3 linked regions of the Saccharomyces cerevisiae S288C genome follow. Changing the gene in region 1 together with any one later gene gives a genetic interaction. Each region holds a gene or a part of one and is shown in the gene's direction. Other genes may lie near its edges.

Region 1 (7,727 bases):
AGCCTTGTACTCTATCTCACTTTCAGAATGCGTACACATTTATGTTTAAAGAGGCGTTTTGTGCTAGTTTTGTCTCAACGTGTATTTTATCGGTTGTAATTGTACTGACAATTTTCGGGCCTCGTTTGGCTGTCGCACTGAAATCTTCGACAGGGTATCGAAGAACGATACAACGATATGCCTATAAAGGTTAGTTAGCCATGATATTACTTCCTGGTTAGCTGGTGCGCTTCTTAGTCCTAACTTGCAAATTTATATCTACGTATAGAAAACTGTCAATATGTCATTACCGTTCTTAACTTCTGCACCGGGAAAGGTTATTATTTTTGGTGAACACTCTGCTGTGTACAACAAGCCTGCCGTCGCTGCTAGTGTGTCTGCGTTGAGAACCTACCTGCTAATAAGCGAGTCATCTGCACCAGATACTATTGAATTGGACTTCCCGGACATTAGCTTTAATCATAAGTGGTCCATCAATGATTTCAATGCCATCACCGAGGATCAAGTAAACTCCCAAAAATTGGCCAAGGCTCAACAAGCCACCGATGGCTTGTCTCAGGAACTCGTTAGTCTTTTGGATCCGTTGTTAGCTCAACTATCCGAATCCTTCCACTACCATGCAGCGTTTTGTTTCCTGTATATGTTTGTTTGCCTATGCCCCCATGCCAAGAATATTAAGTTTTCTTTAAAGTCTACTTTACCCATCGGTGCTGGGTTGGGCTCAAGCGCCTCTATTTCTGTATCACTGGCCTTAGCTATGGCCTACTTGGGGGGGTTAATAGGATCTAATGACTTGGAAAAGCTGTCAGAAAACGATAAGCATATAGTGAATCAATGGGCCTTCATAGGTGAAAAGTGTATTCACGGTACCCCTTCAGGAATAGATAACGCTGTGGCCACTTATGGTAATGCCCTGCTATTTGAAAAAGACTCACATAATGGAACAATAAACACAAACAATTTTAAGTTCTTAGATGATTTCCCAGCCATTCCAATGATCCTAACCTATACTAGAATTCCAAGGTCTACAAAAGATCTTGTTGCTCGCGTTCGTGTGTTGGTCACCGAGAAATTTCCTGAAGTTATGAAGCCAATTCTAGATGCCATGGGTGAATGTGCCCTACAAGGCTTAGAGATCATGACTAAGTTAAGTAAATGTAAAGGCACCGATGACGAGGCTGTAGAAACTAATAATGAACTGTATGAACAACTATTGGAATTGATAAGAATAAATCATGGACTGCTTGTCTCAATCGGTGTTTCTCATCCTGGATTAGAACTTATTAAAAATCTGAGCGATGATTTGAGAATTGGCTCCACAAAACTTACCGGTGCTGGTGGCGGCGGTTGCTCTTTGACTTTGTTACGAAGAGACATTACTCAAGAGCAAATTGACAGCTTCAAAAAGAAATTGCAAGATGATTTTAGTTACGAGACATTTGAAACAGACTTGGGTGGGACTGGCTGCTGTTTGTTAAGCGCAAAAAATTTGAATAAAGATCTTAAAATCAAATCCCTAGTATTCCAATTATTTGAAAATAAAACTACCACAAAGCAACAAATTGACGATCTATTATTGCCAGGAAACACGAATTTACCATGGACTTCATAAGCTAATTTGCGATAGGCATTATTTATTAGTTGTTTTTAATCTTAACTGTGTATGAAGTTTTATGTAATAAAGATAGAAAGAGAAACAAAAAAAAATTTTTCGTAGTATCAATTCAGCTTTCGAAGACAGAATGAAATTTAAGCAGACCATAGTATCCTTGATACATTGACTCATAATCAGTTAAATAGCCATTCAATCCCTTTGAGCTATCAACTTCATATTCCTCCACAAGGTCCTTCCACCCGCGAATTTTACGCAGCCGACTTAATTCATCTCCTGTAAATTGGACCAAGGGTTTGGTGCCATACTTTAATGGACCTACATTGACCCAATGCAGCTCTTTACAGTATTTCTTTAGTGCTTCAATACTGGATAGATATTCAAACATATTTTCCGCGGTATCTATGAAATATGCGCTACAAATGATAATTTTATCATAGTCTTTGGAAATGGGAGAATATCGTGTGAAGTCCCCCCATAGTGGGTCCAGATTACTGCGGTGGCCAACTTTGCTCAAATCTGCCGATAAACTTCTCAACTGATTATCAAACACTGTCTGGCATGAATATTGTTGTACAAAAGGACGTATCTTAACGTCATGCTTATATTCGAGTGCAAATAGGTTACATATGTACATCAAGGCTGATAATTCGATGGAGTCCACCTGTATTTTGGGGAAAGTGGTGGCAAGAGTATGGGATAGGCCACCCACACCAGCCCCTGGGGTCACGATAAGAATTTTCTCTTTCATGTCCCCGGCACTAATCACATGATGGTTGATTCTACTAATGATAAAATTTTGTAAAGGATCTCTTTCCACACTATAGTAAGAGCTGAAATCACGACACAAATGTGCTAATGCTTCATGGACCACACTTTGGCTGCCTCGAGACGAAACTATTGGAAATACGAAGTCAGGATTCAATTGAATAAGGTGACCATCTTTAATCTTATAGCCGTGTTCCGCGCATATCTTTTCAATTTCCTCTGTAAATTCTTCATCGTGTTCGTTGGAATGAATCAATTTCCCTAAAGTGAACTCAATTATCTTGTCAATAACTCTTGCGTTTTCTCGGATACCCTCATTATTTTTCATTAATTTGGTGAAGTAGCCTAATTTTTGCAACTGATCTTCTGAAATTCCATTTAATTGTCTTGCTCTCCGAAATAAAAGGCCATTATAGCCTTCTCCTCTTGCTCGATACTCATGTAAACGGATTAAATTCCCCGTAAGATCAGGAAGAGTGGGAATCTGATAATTAATTTTAGAAAGATTCGATTGATCGGCAGATATTGATTTCTCAACATCAACCAATTTTAAGGAGGGCGATAAAACGCTGACTTTTTGGGCCAGATTTGATTTTCTTGATAATAGCTTTTCAACATATGATACAAACCACCTCTGCAACGGCTTATTTTGCCTTAGCAGTGTCATCAGGACTACCACAAGGGCTAGAATTATATTTGATGCCAGTGAGCTAACCATTGGCGCTCCTCAACTTCGTATATCAATATTTTTACCTCTTCTATTTCCTGAAAAATTTGTTAATTGTACAGCATCGTTTACGTTTTTTTTTTTTTACGGGTCTTCTTACCTAACCCCGAAAAGTATTGTGGATCTTAAAAGGGTCTCAATTATTTGAAGTTCGATAAAAACCAACTACTTTGTTATTTTAAAACTGTATTATACAAACGCTGGTAAACTTCCAGAGACGATATGCGTCTAAAAGAATTGTTACCTAATTTTTTGATTGTTCATCAAGAGGTCCCTGAGGATCCTATTGCATTCAAGTCCACCGATAAACGAGAGAATGAAAATAAAGAGATCACCATCCCTGAGCTAATAGATACTAAAGTTCCTGAATTAGCTGACGGTGCTACTGACACTTTATATGGTTTACTGGTCAATGGCCATTTACAAACTGCATATGGTTCCTTTAGACACTTTGACAATATATACAAAGTTCAATATAAAAGAATGATAATCAAATACCCACATGGGGGAGAAGGGACTGTGGATTTTGCTGTAAATGGTAGAAGTACCAAAAGAAGAAAAGTGGAAAAAGAATACGTGCCGACAAGTCAACCGGTATTTAACGGAAACTTGAAACGAAGATATTCGTACTATTCCCCTGATGATCCTAAATTGAACTCAGACGATGCTAAGCCTATGCTTATTATTCTCCATGGATTAACAGGGGGTTCGAGGGAAAGCTACGTGAGGGCAATTGTTCATGAAATCACCACGAAGTATGACTTTGAAGCATGCGTGTTTAATGCTAGAGGATGTTGTTATTCTGCAATTACAACGCCGCTATTATACAACGGTGGTTGGACCAATGATATAAGATATTGTGTTAATGACTTGAGGAAAAGATTTCCGAATAGAAAGTTTTATATGATGGGATTTTCGTTAGGCGCATCTATAATGACAAATTACTTGGGAGAAGAGTCAGATCGTACTAAAATCGAATGTGCTATTTCCGTGAGTAATCCATTTGACCTGTACAACTCTGCATATTTTATTAACAGTACACCAATGGGGTCACGATTTTATTCACCTGCTTTGGGTCACAACTTACTACGCATGGTTCGAAACCATCTCTCTACTCTGGAAGAAAACCCTGATTTCAAAGATGTTATCGAGAAGCATTTAAAAAAGATTCGCACTGTGAGGCAATTTGATAACTTGTTGACAGGCCCAATGTTTGGATATAAAAATGCAGAGGAGTATTACAAGAATGCTTCATCATATAAAAGAATACCCGGGATCAGAACTCCTTTTATAGCTTTGCATGCTCAGGATGACCCAATTGTCGGAGGTGATCTTCCTATAGACCAAATAAAATCCAATCCATACACTTTGCTTCTAGAAACTTCGACGGGGGGGCATGTTGGATGGTTCAAAGACAGATCCGGCAGAAGGTGGTACGCAGAACCCTTATGCAGATTTTTGAAAATATTTCACGACGAAATTACTGTAAAGGGCTTAAAACCTGACTTGGAAAATGTTCAACTCCCAGATCCTAATTGCGAACCCATAGCCACAACCTTTCGCGCGAATTAGTTTGTAAATAAGTCAACTTTTTAGATGTGTAACCTGATAATTTTTTTTTTTGATGTTCGACATCATTATTTCTGAATGAAAACGTGAAAAGCTTCGCCAAACTTAAAATGGAAAATTTCGAATGGAACAAAATATAATCGATGCGATGAATTAAAACCTTGGAAGAAGAGGGTTAATTGTTAAAATTACATATATAATTGGCAGACAAGAATAAAAAATGCATGAAGTAGTAACGATATCGGTTTCGCAGAGAGCAAACCATTTGACTACTCAATTCTTCAATATACAAGAGGGCTATTTACAATTGTCTAAAGAACAACAAGTCAATGACTCCAAAATTTTTCTGAATTCGGTTGTAGATAAAGTTTCAAAAACAATTTCATATGCACCACGTGCCTTACTTTGGGATGCCCGTACAGGTAATGGTTCACTAGGAACATATCAATATTCAGAAAGCCAAGACTATCATTTCGGCAATGAAGACAAATTCAAGGAGCAAACAGTTATAAAGACTCATCCAAGAATACCTAAATCCGAATATCAGAGTTCTCTAGATGCAGGAGCACCGCTGCCTTGTTTGAACAGAGAAAATACGATGTATTGGTCTGACTATTCTAAACTTATCTATGGTCCTTCAAGTTTCAATATTTTGAGAAATTGGTACCATGACACTGAAAATCCAAACCAACCTGACTTTCAAAACTTGGGGGAGCGAAAGTTTGACAGGTATTCCATTGGTTATGACGAATTTACCGAAAATTACTTGCAAGAGTTTTTTGATGGAAATTTGCATAGAGAATTGGAAAAATGTGACACCCTGCAAGGCTTCAATCTTGTAAGTGATATGGAGAGTGGATGGGGCGGGTTTTCTAGTGCTCTACTGGTGGAATTAAGGAATGAATTACCTAAAAAGGCGGTCTTTTCATGGGGACACAATGAAGATGATCCATTCACAGATGACTTCCCTATGAAAAGACTTTCAAAGAAATGGCTCCCGATCATTTCGAACAAATTAAGAAGCACAATAAATATGATGCAAGAATCCGATCTTTACTTCCCATTGTATGCTGCTCCTGGACTAACTAATTGGGAAACTGCTGGAAAGAGCTGTAGGATATTTGATTCTATAAATGCGACAATTTCCCAAAGCAATCTTGAACAAAGAAAGACAATGGATTATCTAACAACTGCCATTACCTTAGGATATTCGTCGCGAAATATGGTCACTGGCATGGTTATCGGTGACACCGATTACTCATTCTGTTCTCGAGTACTTCCTTTCAAGAATAGCCACAAACCAAATTCTACTCACATATTTTCAAAAAGTTTCATTGATAGAGGAAATCAAACGCATAAACATCATTCCGAACCTGATTCACGGAGTAAGATGATTGAAATGTATACACACAGGTATTTTCCATCTGATACGATACCGACAGAATTTTCCAATGATCGTGAATTTGTTTTGGAATTAGAATCATCTGAAAAAAATCGAGATATATTCAAACATTGGAATGAGTTTGTGGTAAGGTACTTCAAAAATGATAGTGACAGAGAAGAATTGAAAAATGAACTTTCCGATTACGCCTCAGCGTACGAATCTGGGTGGTATGAAGACGAAGATTCTGGTGATGACGATATGTGATAAGCAGTTTGCAGCTACGTATTTCCTTTCTCCAGTTGAGGCAAACAGGACTTCTTCCATCTTTTTCGAAGTTTTTACTTCGCCATTTGATCTATATCTACGTAAATTACATTAATTAGAAAGTCATGCTATATCACTCTTGCCCTTGAAAGCATCCACAGCTGTCCGTCAAAAACTTAATTTCTCAAGTGGAGGAGAAAATTTTACCTCTTGAACTTAAAGAATGTAAATCTTCATTTGCGTCTTTAAAGTCATCGTTTTGATTTTCACCAGTTGCTGTTTTTTGCAAAAAGGATTTTCTATTTCCAATGCTACTGCGATCAGAAAGACTAGATATTGGTGCAAGTCGCAGAGAATTTGATCTAGCAACGTCGATTTTATCCAAGCCAACAATATTCTCCTCATCAGGATCTTTGATTTTATTCGCGTCATCTGAAAAAGTTTTCAATTCATTTAATAAAAATGTGATATTAGTGACACGAGATTTCACTGATTGAGAACCCCGAAAAGAGCCATCTCTTTTCATATTATTTGGAATATTCTTTTCATTCATAGTTTTTTTCAAATCGCTAACTTTTGGTGCGGTGGCTCTCATTGTTTTCCATGATCTTGCGTCCTCAGCAACAAACCTATAGATACTACCTTTTGCATTAGCATCAGAAATTACAGTATCGTTAGCTTCTTCTATATTGTCATCTATGCTGTTGTCGAATTTATTTTGCTTGGCCGCAAAATCGTTGTTATCATACACTGCTTTCCCATTTGAAAAAATAGCATTAGGGACATTCTTGTACTCCAGAGGTGTAGTACGAACTTGAGAGTCCGACAGTAAATCAGAAGTAGAAATTTGATTATCACGAGACAATAAAATCTGCGCCCCCTTCTTGCTGTATTTATTTGATCCAGTATCAGAATAGTATGACAATAAATCTTCCTTGGTAAACAAAGTTCTAGTTTGCATTTTGTACTCAGTTTGTGACTTGTAGTCATTGAGTTTTAAAAAGTTAGCTGCTTGTAAATGGTACGAATAATAGGTATACTCAGGCTCAGAAACGTTCTCTAGAAAATAATTCAAACCGGATAATAGTGCCATTTTTCCATACTTGTCAAAGATCTCTTCCATCATTTCTTTTTGCACACCATGTGAATCCAGTTCACGTAATAATGAGTACAGTTTTGAAAAGAGAATGCTGCTTGGAACCTCAGTTTCAACAATGTTAAATAAACATATAATGTGGTTTTTCATGTAATGCGCCAAGTCGATGAATAATTCCAAACTGATACTTGGCTGCGTAATATGTTCAACGAGGAAATCAATATCTTCCACAACTGCATTCTTTTCAACATCCTTGACGGTGTCACTTTTCAATTTCAATAGTAGTTCATATAACATATCTGAGGTC
Region 2 (8,904 bases), on another chromosome or scaffold:
AGGCTGCTGTGAGCTGCTGTACTATAACCAGGATTTAGATGTTTATTGTCGCACGTTACCATATTTACCACAAAATCAAGTTGAAACCGTGAACGACTATTCGTCTTTTCCTGCAATATCGAAGATAGCTGGTAAAAAGATGCCTATAACGTCAAGCCCCGATCTGTTCTATCTCAATGATTGTGATGTCGTCTATTGGTATGACCTCACTCGCTTAGTGTGTCATTATGTTAATTTAACAGAGCGCGACCTATTGGCAAATGAACGGGAAAAGTTTCTAACTTCCTTGGATTTATTAACAGCTCAAATAACCTATGTTTATATGCTTTTCAGGAATCTCCGTTTAGTTGAAGATAGTTTCAAAAAAACCCTCAAAAAACTAATTTACACCTTGTCTAGGTTTTCAATAAATGCAAATATTTGGTTTCATTCCACATTGTTTGAAGAAAGAGAAGCCATAGCCTCCCAGAAGGATCCAGAAAGAAGATCCCCTCTTCTACAGTCAATCCTAGGAACCTTCCAAAAATTTCATTTTCTACTGCGTTTACTACATTTCCTCTCAAATCCTAACGAACTTACAATACTGCCTCAATTGACTCCTCGATTTTTCAAGGATTCTTTCAATACAATTTCATGGAATAACCCGTTTTTGCGTAAGCGTCTCAACCAGCATATGTCCCATGACCTACCGAGACAGATGATTAAAGCCGTTGCTGGTGCTTCAGGAATTGTTGCGGAAAATATTGATGAAATTCCAGCTTCCAAACAGGGCACTTCATGCTCGTCAGAAACGTCTCACCATTCACCATCAGCCCCGTTTCAAAGAAGGAGAAGAGGTACCATTTTCTCTAATGTGTCAGGAAGTTCCGATGAGTCTGACACCATATGGTCCAAAAGGAAAAAACCATACCCGCTAAATGAAGAAACTCTAAGCCTTGTAAGGGCCAGGAAGAAGCAGCTTGATGGTAAACTAAAACAAATGATCAAAAGTGCTAATGAATATCTCAGTAACACGGCTAATTTTTCAAAAATGTTGAATTTTGAAATGAATTTCAAAACCTACGAAGAAGTAAGCGGAACAATTCCTATAATTGATATTCTGGAAAACCTAGATTTAACTATTTTTCTAAACTTGAGAGAGTTGGGAGATGAGAATAGAGTTTTTGACGAAGATGTCGCTATTGATGATGAAGATGAAGAGTTTTTGAAACATTCTTTATCATCCCTATCGTATATCTTATCCGACTATTTTAATATGAAGCAATATTTTCATGATGTAGTAGTGAAATTTATAATTGTCGCCCAGCATTTGACATTAGAGGATCCTTTCGTTTTCTCGCCAATGCAAAACGACTTGCCTACCGGTTATTATGAACCAATGAAACCTTCATCCTTGAATTTAGATAATGCCAAGGATAAGAAGAATGGGAGCCAAAATACTGATATCCAAGAGGAGGAAGATGAATATGAGCCAGACCCGGATAGTCTTATTCTCTTCCACAACCTCATCAATCAAGATTCTGATTTCAATGATTTAAAGTTTTTTAATCTCGCCCACGTTTTTAAAAAATCCTGTGATGACTATTTTGATGTGCTTAAACTAGCCATTGAGTTCGTGAATCAATTAATTCTAGAAAGAGAGAATTTGTTAAATTATGCTGCTAGAATGATGAAAAACAATATCACGGAATTGCTATTGCGCGGGGAAGAAGGCTATGGGTCCTATGACGGCGGTGAAACTGCCGAAAAAAGTGACACGAATGCTGTTTATGCAGATTCAGATACTAAAGACAATGACGAATGGCGTGACAGCCAAGTCAAATTACCGAGGTATTTGCAGCGCGAGTATGACAGTGAACTGATTTGGGGCTCTAACAATAGGATTAAAGGTGGTTCTAAACACGCACTGATCTCTTACTTGACAGATAATGAAAAGAAGGATCTATTTTTCGATATTACTTTTTTAATCACTTTCAGAAGCATCTTTACTACAACGGAGTTTTTAAGCTACTTGATTTCGCAATATAATTTGGATCCACCAGAGGATTTGTGCTTTGAAGAATACAATGAATGGGTGACGAAAAAGCTTATACCGGTTAAATGTAGGGTGGTTGAGATTATGACAACCTTTTTCAAGCAATATTGGTTCCTGGGCTATGATGAGCCCGATCTTGCGACCCTAAATCTGGATTATTTTGCGCAAGTAGCAATCAAGGAAAATATAACAGGATCTGTGGAATTACTAAAGGAGGTCAATCAGAAGTTTAAACATGGTAATATACAAGAAGCGACTGCACCAATGAAAACGTTAGATCAACAGATCTGCCAGGACCATTACTCGGGCACTTTATACTCTACCACGGAATCCATTTTGGCCGTCGATCCAGTTTTATTTGCCACTCAATTAACGATACTAGAGCATGAAATTTATTGTGAGATAACCATTTTTGATTGTTTACAAAAAATTTGGAAGAACAAGTATACAAAATCGTATGGGGCTTCACCGGGTTTGAACGAGTTTATCAGTTTTGCCAATAAACTGACAAATTTCATATCCTACTCTGTTGTAAAGGAGGCTGATAAAAGTAAGCGCGCCAAGCTACTCTCTCATTTTATTTTTATCGCAGAATATTGTAGGAAATTCAATAACTTTTCTTCCATGACTGCAATCATTTCAGCATTATATTCTTCACCAATTTATCGTTTAGAGAAAACCTGGCAGGCAGTTATTCCTCAAACGAGAGATCTATTGCAGTCACTGAACAAGTTGATGGATCCCAAGAAAAATTTCATAAATTACAGAAACGAGCTGAAATCTTTACATAGCGCTCCCTGCGTACCGTTTTTCGGCGTTTATTTATCTGATCTAACCTTTACTGATTCCGGAAATCCGGATTATCTTGTCTTGGAACATGGTTTAAAGGGTGTCCATGATGAGAAGAAATATATAAACTTCAACAAAAGGAGCAGACTTGTTGATATCTTACAAGAGATCATATATTTCAAGAAAACACATTATGATTTCACTAAAGATCGGACGGTAATTGAATGTATATCAAATTCATTGGAAAACATCCCCCATATTGAGAAACAATACCAATTATCATTAATTATTGAACCAAAACCAAGAAAGAAAGTCGTTCCGAATTCCAATTCGAATAATAAATCACAAGAAAAATCCAGGGATGACCAAACCGATGAAGGAAAAACATCCACTAAGAAAGACAGATTTCCAAAATTTCAATTACATAAGACAAAGAAAAAAGCTCCCAAGGTTTCTAAGTAACGGCGCCGTATGTTCGATTTCCTTCTCTCGGTGGATTAATTATTTTGTTTGTTTTCTCCTGTTATATTATTTATTGATCACTATAGTAAACTATGTCCGTCATCAAGCCCGACGGCTGCTATCCCACAATGTTGATCGTATTGTTTGCCTAGTTTATTATATATTTGCTTATTTATAGCATACCATAATATTTAAATGCCCTCAAATTTTTGGCCGTAGCGACATCGCGATAATTCCAATTCCCTTTAAAAAATTGCGCCTGAGTATAAGTTAATTCAGCCAGTTCTCCAAATTAAAATCGCATACTCCTGAACCTATCAACAGATTGTCCTCGCATACTTTTCTATACCAAGGTCTCTTCTGAACATATATTAGCAGTGGTTAATTTTAAAGAGATCATAAAGAAAATTTTGTCTAAAAAAGATTAATATAAAGACAATGTCTTCACTAGAAGTGGTAGATGGGTGCCCCTATGGATACCGACCATATCCAGATAGTGGCACAAATGCATTAAATCCATGTTTTATATCAGTAATATCCGCCTGGCAAGCCGTCTTTTTCCTATTGATTGGTAGCTATCAATTGTGGAAACTTTATAAGAACAATAAAGTACCACCCAGATTTAAGAACTTTCCTACATTACCAAGTAAAATCAACAGTCGACATCTAACGCATTTGACCAATGTTTGCTTTCAGTCCACGCTTATAATTTGTGAACTGGCCTTGGTATCCCAATCTAGCGATAGGGTTTATCCATTTATACTAAAGAAGGCTCTGTACTTGAATCTCCTTTTCAATTTGGGTATTTCTCTCCCTACTCAATACTTAGCTTATTTTAAAAGTACATTTTCAATGGGCAACCAGCTTTTCTATTACATGTTTCAAATTCTTCTACAGCTCTTCTTGATATTGCAGAGGTACTATCATGGTTCTAGTAACGAAAGGCTTACTGTTATTAGCGGACAAACTGCTATGATTTTAGAAGTGCTCCTTCTTTTCAATTCTGTGGCAATTTTTATTTATGATCTATGCATTTTTGAGCCAATTAACGAATTATCTGAATACTACAAGAAAAATGGGTGGTATCCCCCCGTTCATGTACTATCCTATATTACATTTATCTGGATGAACAAACTGATTGTGGAAACTTACCGTAACAAGAAAATCAAAGATCCTAACCAGTTACCATTGCCGCCAGTAGATCTGAATATTAAGTCGATAAGTAAGGAATTTAAGGCTAACTGGGAATTGGAAAAATGGTTGAATAGAAATTCTCTTTGGAGGGCCATTTGGAAGTCATTTGGTAGGACTATTTCTGTGGCTATGCTGTATGAAACGACATCTGATTTACTTTCTGTAGTACAGCCCCAGTTTCTACGGATATTCATAGATGGTTTGAACCCGGAAACATCTTCTAAATATCCTCCTTTAAATGGTGTATTTATTGCTCTAACCCTTTTCGTAATCAGCGTGGTTTCTGTGTTCCTCACCAATCAATTTTATATTGGAATTTTTGAGGCTGGTTTGGGGATAAGAGGCTCTTTAGCTTCTTTAGTGTATCAGAAGTCCTTAAGATTGACGCTAGCAGAGCGTAACGAAAAATCTACTGGTGACATCTTAAATTTGATGTCTGTGGATGTGTTAAGGATCCAGCGGTTTTTCGAAAATGCCCAAACCATTATTGGCGCTCCTATTCAGATTATTGTTGTATTAACTTCCCTGTACTGGTTGCTAGGAAAGGCTGTTATTGGAGGGTTGGTTACTATGGCTATTATGATGCCTATCAATGCCTTCTTATCTAGAAAGGTAAAAAAGCTATCAAAAACTCAAATGAAGTATAAGGACATGAGAATCAAGACTATTACAGAGCTTTTGAATGCTATAAAATCTATTAAATTATACGCCTGGGAGGAACCTATGATGGCAAGATTGAATCATGTTCGTAATGATATGGAGTTGAAAAATTTTCGGAAAATTGGTATAGTGAGCAATCTGATATATTTTGCGTGGAATTGTGTACCTTTAATGGTGACATGTTCCACATTTGGCTTATTTTCTTTATTTAGTGATTCTCCGTTATCTCCTGCCATTGTCTTCCCTTCATTATCTTTATTTAATATTTTGAACAGTGCCATCTATTCCGTTCCATCCATGATAAATACCATTATAGAGACAAGCGTTTCTATGGAAAGATTAAAGTCATTCCTACTTAGTGACGAAATTGATGATTCGTTCATCGAACGTATTGATCCTTCAGCGGATGAAAGAGCGTTACCTGCTATAGAGATGAATAATATTACATTTTTATGGAAATCAAAAGAAGTATTAACATCTAGCCAATCTGGAGATAATTTGAGGACAGATGAAGAGTCTATTATCGGATCTTCTCAAATTGCGTTGAAGAATATCGATCATTTTGAAGCAAAAAGGGGTGATTTAGTTTGTGTTGTTGGTCGGGTAGGAGCTGGTAAATCAACATTTTTGAAGGCAATTCTTGGTCAACTTCCTTGCATGAGTGGTTCTAGGGACTCGATACCACCTAAACTGATCATTAGATCATCGTCTGTAGCCTACTGTTCACAAGAATCCTGGATAATGAACGCATCTGTAAGAGAAAACATTCTATTTGGTCACAAGTTCGACCAAGATTATTATGACCTCACTATTAAAGCATGTCAATTGCTACCCGATTTGAAAATACTACCAGATGGTGATGAAACTTTGGTAGGTGAAAAGGGCATTTCCCTATCAGGCGGTCAGAAGGCCCGTCTTTCATTAGCCAGAGCGGTGTACTCGAGAGCAGATATTTATTTGTTGGATGACATTTTATCTGCTGTTGATGCAGAAGTTAGTAAAAATATTATTGAATATGTTTTGATCGGAAAGACGGCTTTATTAAAAAATAAAACAATTATTTTAACTACCAATACTGTATCAATTTTAAAACATTCGCAGATGATATATGCGCTAGAAAACGGTGAAATTGTTGAACAAGGGAATTATGAGGATGTAATGAACCGTAAGAACAATACTTCAAAACTGAAAAAATTACTAGAGGAATTTGATTCTCCGATTGATAATGGAAATGAAAGCGATGTCCAAACTGAACACCGATCCGAAAGTGAAGTGGATGAACCTCTGCAGCTTAAAGTAACTGAATCAGAAACTGAGGATGAGGTTGTTACTGAGAGTGAATTAGAACTAATCAAAGCCAATTCTAGAAGAGCTTCTCTAGCTACGCTAAGACCTAGACCCTTTGTGGGAGCACAATTGGATTCCGTGAAGAAAACGGCGCAAAAGGCCGAGAAGACAGAGGTGGGAAGAGTCAAAACAAAGATTTATCTTGCGTATATTAAGGCTTGTGGAGTTTTAGGTGTTGTTTTATTTTTCTTGTTTATGATATTAACAAGGGTTTTCGACTTAGCAGAGAATTTTTGGTTAAAGTACTGGTCAGAATCTAATGAAAAAAATGGTTCAAATGAAAGGGTTTGGATGTTTGTTGGTGTGTATTCCTTAATCGGAGTAGCATCGGCCGCATTCAATAATTTACGGAGTATTATGATGCTACTGTATTGTTCTATTAGGGGTTCTAAGAAACTGCATGAAAGCATGGCCAAATCTGTAATTAGAAGTCCTATGACTTTCTTTGAGACTACACCAGTTGGAAGGATCATAAACAGGTTCTCATCTGATATGGATGCAGTGGACAGTAATCTACAGTACATTTTCTCCTTTTTTTTCAAATCAATACTAACCTATTTGGTTACTGTTATATTAGTCGGGTACAATATGCCATGGTTTTTAGTGTTCAATATGTTTTTGGTGGTTATCTATATTTACTATCAAACATTTTACATTGTGCTATCTAGGGAGCTAAAAAGATTGATCAGTATATCTTACTCTCCGATTATGTCCTTAATGAGTGAGAGCTTGAACGGTTATTCTATTATTGATGCATACGATCATTTTGAGAGATTCATCTATCTAAATTATGAAAAAATCCAATACAACGTTGATTTTGTCTTCAACTTTAGATCAACGAATAGATGGTTATCCGTGAGATTGCAAACTATTGGTGCTACAATTGTTTTGGCTACTGCAATCTTAGCACTAGCAACAATGAATACTAAAAGGCAACTAAGTTCGGGTATGGTTGGTCTACTAATGAGCTATTCATTAGAGGTTACAGGTTCATTGACTTGGATTGTAAGGACAACTGTGACGATTGAAACCAACATTGTATCAGTGGAGAGAATTGTTGAGTACTGCGAATTACCACCTGAAGCACAGTCCATTAACCCTGAAAAGAGGCCAGATGAAAATTGGCCATCAAAGGGTGGTATTGAATTCAAAAACTATTCCACAAAATACAGAGAAAATTTGGATCCAGTGCTGAATAATATTAACGTGAAGATTGAGCCATGTGAAAAGGTTGGGATTGTTGGCAGAACAGGTGCAGGGAAGTCTACACTGAGCCTGGCATTATTTAGAATACTAGAACCTACCGAAGGTAAAATTATTATTGACGGCATTGATATATCCGACATAGGTCTGTTCGATTTAAGAAGCCATTTGGCAATTATTCCTCAGGATGCACAAGCTTTTGAAGGTACAGTAAAGACCAATTTGGACCCTTTCAATCGTTATTCAGAAGATGAACTTAAAAGGGCTGTTGAGCAGGCACATTTAAAGCCTCATCTGGAAAAAATGCTGCACAGTAAACCAAGAGGTGATGATTCTAATGAAGAGGATGGCAATGTTAATGATATTCTGGATGTCAAGATTAATGAGAACGGTAGTAACTTGTCAGTGGGGCAAAGACAACTACTATGTTTGGCAAGAGCGCTGCTAAACCGTTCCAAAATATTGGTCCTTGATGAAGCAACGGCTTCTGTGGATATGGAAACCGATAAAATTATCCAAGACACTATAAGAAGAGAATTTAAGGACCGTACCATCTTAACAATTGCACATCGTATCGACACTGTATTGGACAGTGATAAGATAATTGTTCTTGACCAGGGTAGTGTGAGGGAATTCGATTCACCCTCGAAATTGTTATCCGATAAAACGTCTATTTTTTACAGTCTTTGTGAGAAAGGTGGGTATTTGAAATAATGACATTGATTATTATATATGAAGATATAGAACATTTAATGCGCTGCAATATGTACGGTCACGCCAATTCTTTTTCTTTCTATATGCTTTCTAGTAACCCGGGTAATCACAAATGAAGCTAGTAGAGATATAACTAAATACAACTTAATTTTAACCTTATGTTGGATTGCTCAAGCAGTGTTCGAGAAAGACAGCGGCAGACAGATAGAAATGAGCTCAAATGAAGAGGTATTTACTCAGATAAACGCAACTGCGAATGTGGTTGATAATAAGAAGCGTTTACTTTTCGTGCAAGATAGCTCAGCACTTGTTCTAGGGCTTGTTGCAGGATTTTTGCAAATCGAGTCAGTCCATGGGTTTATTTGGTTCCTGATTCTGTACAACTTGATTAATGTCATTTACATTGTTTGGATCTGTCAACTTCAACCAGGAAAGTTCTACCAAAGCCCACTTCATGACATTTTTTTCGAATCGTTTTTTAGAGAGATAACTGGTTTTGT
Region 3 (5,180 bases), on another chromosome or scaffold:
GTTTCCGAGATAGAAAGTGCGGTAGTAGAGAAGAACAATAAACGTATCAAACTTTGCGCAGTCATGGAATTTCCAGGAAACATTTTTAGGTTTTCATATGACAGCAGTTCCTGTCCGAGAGCTGTGCCTTTCTTGTCTCAGCTGACTAAGATGTCTCGGATCCGCCCGGCTGGCGCGCGGCTCCGTCTAGTGGGATAGGCTTTCAACACATAGGAAACCCTTCAGATGATGAGAACACATCGAATCCCAGAGAGTAATATCACCAAGAATAAAGCAACCATGATAGACAATATTACTAAGTGTTCCTCAACAGATATTGAGAAAAGTTCTTATAAAGCGGGCAGGCTTTTTTCTATTTTTTTCTTTTTCTTTATCTAGCTTAAGATCCTTCTAACCATATTCTATAAAATGGCAAGCTGAATACAGATTATCAACGACAATTACATATAACCTACAAACAGGCAAGTTGCAATTCCAGAAACCATGAAGGCTGTCGTCATTGAAGACGGTAAAGCGGTTGTCAAAGAGGGCGTTCCCATTCCTGAATTGGAAGAAGGATTCGTATTGATTAAGACACTCGCTGTTGCTGGTAACCCGACTGATTGGGCACACATTGACTACAAGGTCGGGCCTCAAGGATCTATTCTGGGATGTGACGCTGCCGGCCAAATTGTCAAATTGGGCCCAGCCGTCGATCCTAAAGACTTTTCTATTGGTGATTATATTTATGGGTTCATTCACGGATCTTCCGTAAGGTTTCCTTCCAATGGTGCTTTTGCTGAATATTCTGCTATTTCAACTGTGGTTGCCTACAAATCACCCAATGAACTCAAATTTTTGGGTGAAGATGTTCTACCTGCCGGCCCTGTCAGGTCTTTGGAAGGGGCAGCCACTATCCCAGTGTCACTGACCACAGCTGGCTTGGTGTTGACCTATAACTTGGGCTTGAACCTGAAGTGGGAGCCATCAACCCCACAAAGAAACGGCCCCATCTTATTATGGGGCGGTGCAACTGCAGTAGGTCAGTCGCTCATCCAATTAGCCAATAAATTGAATGGCTTCACCAAGATCATTGTTGTGGCTTCTCGGAAACACGAAAAACTGTTGAAAGAATATGGTGCTGATCAACTATTTGATTACCATGATATTGACGTGGTAGAACAAATTAAACACAAGTACAACAATATCTCGTATTTAGTCGACTGTGTCGCGAATCAAAATACGCTTCAACAAGTGTACAAATGTGCGGCCGATAAACAGGATGCTACCGTTGTCGAATTAACTAATTTGACAGAAGAAAACGTCAAAAAGGAGAATAGGAGGCAAAATGTCACTATTGACAGAACAAGACTGTATTCAATAGGCGGCCATGAAGTACCATTTGGTGGCATTACTTTCCCTGCTGACCCAGAAGCCAGGAGAGCTGCCACCGAATTCGTCAAGTTCATCAATCCAAAGATTAGTGATGGGCAAATTCACCATATTCCAGCAAGGGTCTATAAGAACGGGCTTTACGATGTTCCTCGTATCCTGGAAGACATTAAAATCGGTAAGAACTCTGGTGAAAAACTAGTTGCCGTATTAAACTAGATGACGAACAGATATTATTTTTCTTTTGTATACACAGTTATTACGTATGTTAGAGTGACTTGGTTTTTTTTTTTTTAATGAAATTGTTTGTTATTGATCACGCCTTGTAGGGGAAACAGATGAGAACAGTGAAAATCATAACTCATTATGTGATTTGTTGTGCGTCACCCTTCCATGATTATATATCCTTACTATCTACTATCCAACTACTACATATCTATTGAACTCATATGTACCAAGCACATAAAATTATGCACCTATTTCCATTGGCAAAGACTTGGCGAAATTTAATACACTGTAATAATATCCGGCGAAGCTCTTTAAGAATTCTTACCTATAATAGCGGCTCGCTGTCCGAACGATTGCGCCGCACTTTTCTGCCTCTTACATTCCCTTTTCCTAAGGCGATAAGCAGGCTGAATGGAAACTACGATATAACGCAGTAGAGGTCCCCCAAGAGCTGGAAAGAAAATATTGGTTTGATAGCCAGCACTATTCTATCCAGTGGGCTCTTGTACCATTTTCTGTGGTATGGCTTTGATTCAACTGCATACGTAGTTAACGCGATCAGCCGCACATGGGCATTATCATTTTCAGGGGTACTGGTAAACCCTATTGTTTAGAAAGAATACCTGGTAAGCGGGTCTGTCGAGTCTTTCCCACTAATTTTGAAGAAAAAATCTTTACCTAGTTTGAGAATAATCGTGGCGTTCGTAACATCACGAGGTGAGAGAGACCAGTTAGGTAAGGGTATGCCAATAAAAGGTTATTGATACTTCAACGAATCTTCATATTAAAAGTGCCTTCACCAGAATAAAATTCTAACGTCATCCTAAAAAGCATCAATTGGACATAGTGAGGGAAAGTTTTCACCATTTAAAATCTATTCTGCAGAATACCATTCTAGACTATGATCCCTTAAAGATTCCCATTCTTTAAATATACAAATCAGGTTCAACAGCGTATCTTTATGGTATTATCGTACTACTGGCGACATTAGCAAATCCAAGTATCCTAACTAGGTTTCTAGTCTTATCTCTTGGTTTTCTCCATTAGATGGTAAACACGTTACCTTGATGGCTGTACAGGAAGTGAACATGGTCAACTCAAAGTCACCGGACTCAAAATAATTGCAATTACCTAGACTGGATATTTTTAGAATATTATGAGAATATTTTTAGAATACTTGCAACCCAAAATATATTTAAATGCCGCCAATTTGCAACCAAAAGATTATCCGCTACCTTTTTTTTAGTCATTGAATTGTAGCATAAAGTTCCGAGCTTTGAAAAAAAACTTTGAACTAAGAAAAGGTAAGAGATCCTCAATTATGATATTACTTCATGCCATATATACTCTTTGGGTAATTATACTACTTCCGCTACTCAATGCAGAGAAATTTGTCCCAAAAGTAACGGAGGCTCCTATAGAAACATCATTTAATCTAGTGAGTTTTGATGATTCCAACACTTCTATCAGATTAGATGGTTGGGGGGTTGTATGGATAAGTTTCGACGCTGGAGAAAATTGGGAAACGGTCAAAGAAATTGAAGAGCGCATTTTCAGATTTACTGTTGATCCTTTCCATGGACAGGAAAGAGGTTTCGCTTTTATATGTGAATCACCCAAATTCTACATTACCGACGACCGTGGGGAGTCATGGAGGGCTTTAACTATACCCTCATCAGAAGAATATTTAGATGGCGACTGTTTTATAACTACTCATCCTAGAAACAAAGAACTTCTTATTGCGAATTGCTATAGCTATATGATAGACGCAGACGTTTTATATGACCCAAGTGAAATTTACTTGAGCAATGATGGGAATCCTTTTTTAAAATTAAACCTTCCTTGGAAAAGAAAAAAGACGACGATATAACAACTTAAAGCTGTCATTTCATTAAGTCTAGCAAGGATTCTGACTTTACTGGTAATGATACTTCGATACTCTGTTTGTTCTCTAACCGTGAATACGATGAAGAATATCGCTTAACTGCTACCTACACACAGTTGGCTTTCAGTAGTGATGGAGGCAAAACGTTTAAAGATTTTGATGAATTTAAAGATAAGATTGTTACTCAATACAAGATATTGAAGTCATATGTGGTCGTTTTAACGCAAGATGACGGGCATAACGAGATGTCATCTACGGACATCTGGATATCCAATGATGCATCTACTTTTCAAAAGGCACAGCTGCCTACTCAATTACGGCACGTCAAAGTGATTAAAATTCGTGAAGATTCTATCGGAAGGATCATCCTTCTTATATCGACAGAAATCACAAATGAGGAAAATGCTGATCCAGATCTCTCAGAGATTTTCATATCAGATTCGCAAGGGTTGAAATTCTCACCTGTTGAATGGACACCAAACCATCAGTTTGGAAATTTTAGGCTCACTTTTCCTGATTTCTTGAAAGGGACAATATTTGGATCGTTTCATCCTTCCATTGACTATTCTAATCACCAAGTAAACTATACTGAAAATATAGCCGGAGGAGAAACCAAAATATCCGTTGATAACGGCCTCACATGGTCAAATTTGAAAGTTGTTGATGAAGAAAATGCCGATTCGTTCGGCTGTGATATCACTAGGCCTGAGAGATGTTCACTTCAGGGTTATTTTTACAATCTAAAACTTTCAAATCCTTCTGCTGGGATCATATTAATGACAGGTTCTGTTGGCGATGACAATGAATTCGATCGGAAGGACCGAAAAACTTTCATTTCTAGAGACGGTGGTCTAACATGGAGGGTGGCCCATAATTCTTCTGGATTATATGCTACTGGTGATCTGGGAAATATTATTGTATATATCCCGTCTCCTTCATATAAAGATGGTGATGTACAATCCAAACTTTATTTTTCCTTGGACCAAGGTAGAACATGGAATCAATATGAGCTTGTTGACGCTTTATTTTATATCCATCCATTAGAGTTGATTAATACAACGCCAGATGGATCAGGCTCAAAATTTATTTTAAGCGGACATCTCATTACTACGGCTAGTCAAGAAGGAAACAACACCAACATCTCATATATTGCAAGAAGTGTCCTGTATGCGATCGATTTTTCTGCTGCATTTTGACTATAAAACGTGTGAAGAGGAAGATTTCGAAGACTGGAATTTGGCAGATGGGAAATGCCTTAATGGCGCCAAATACATGTATAAAAGGAGGAAACAGGACGCCCGTTGTTTGGTAAAAAGGACATTCAAAGATATGATTTTGCATGAAATACCTTGTGACAGTTGTACTGAATCCGACTACGAATGCTCTTCTGAATTTGTTAGAGATGCAAAGGGTGACTGTATACCAGATTATGATCAGATTGCCCTTTCCGATATATGTGACAAAGCTAATGGCGAAACTGTATCATTAGAGCCATTACAATTAATTAAAGGAGATAAATGCAAAAAGCCCATGGAAATTGAGGCCATGAACATTCCATGTGAAAAAATCCTGAGGGAGAGCTCGAATGGTAAGAAAATAGCAACCATTGAAAACAAGTTTGACTTTGAAATTTAATTTTATCAATATTTCGATACAGTTTTGGGTGAATCTTTTATCATGCTTAAGTCAATAGAAG

Evidence for each region. A genetic interaction does not mean that the proteins touch.
Region 2: mutations in MGL2 (region 1) and BPT1 together harm fitness more than expected from each alone (negative genetic interaction), as found in Saccharomyces cerevisiae (2 studies listed by BioGRID).
Region 3: mutations in MGL2 (region 1) and EMA35 together harm fitness more than expected from each alone (negative genetic interaction), as found in Saccharomyces cerevisiae (2 studies listed by BioGRID).

The regions. Positions count from the first base shown.
Region 1 is NC_001145.3:684,187-691,913, forward strand, and holds MGL2 (putative carboxylic ester hydrolase), read left to right. Parts: upstream 1-3,329; coding exon 3,330-4,679; downstream 4,680-7,727. Other genes in the region: ERG12 (mevalonate kinase), read left to right, coding at 281-1,612; YMR209C (uncharacterized protein), read right to left, coding at 1,725-3,098; DML1 (Dml1p), read left to right, coding at 4,897-6,324; EFR3 (Efr3p), read right to left, coding at 6,509-7,727. UniProt on the Saccharomyces cerevisiae protein: Converts monoacylglycerides (MAG) to free fatty acids and glycerol. Has a preference for palmitoyl-MAG. Does not play a significant role in ethyl ester biosynthesis. Also possesses ester hydrolase and low but persistent TAG lipase activity.
Region 2 is NC_001144.5:112,708-121,611, forward strand, and holds BPT1 (ATP-binding cassette bilirubin transporter BPT1), read left to right. Parts: upstream 1-3,724; coding exon 3,725-8,404; downstream 8,405-8,904. Other genes in the region: EMC6 (Emc6p), read left to right, coding at 8,615-8,904. UniProt on the Saccharomyces cerevisiae protein: Cooperates for the ATP-dependent vacuolar transport of bilirubin and glutathione conjugates.
Region 3 is NC_001135.5:300,771-305,950, reverse strand, and holds EMA35 (Ema35p), read left to right. Parts: upstream 1-3,729; coding exon 3,730-4,680; downstream 4,681-5,180. Other genes in the region: YCR102C (uncharacterized protein), read left to right, coding at 484-1,590; YCR101C (uncharacterized protein), read left to right, coding at 2,921-3,469; YCR099C (uncharacterized protein), read left to right, coding at 4,652-5,119.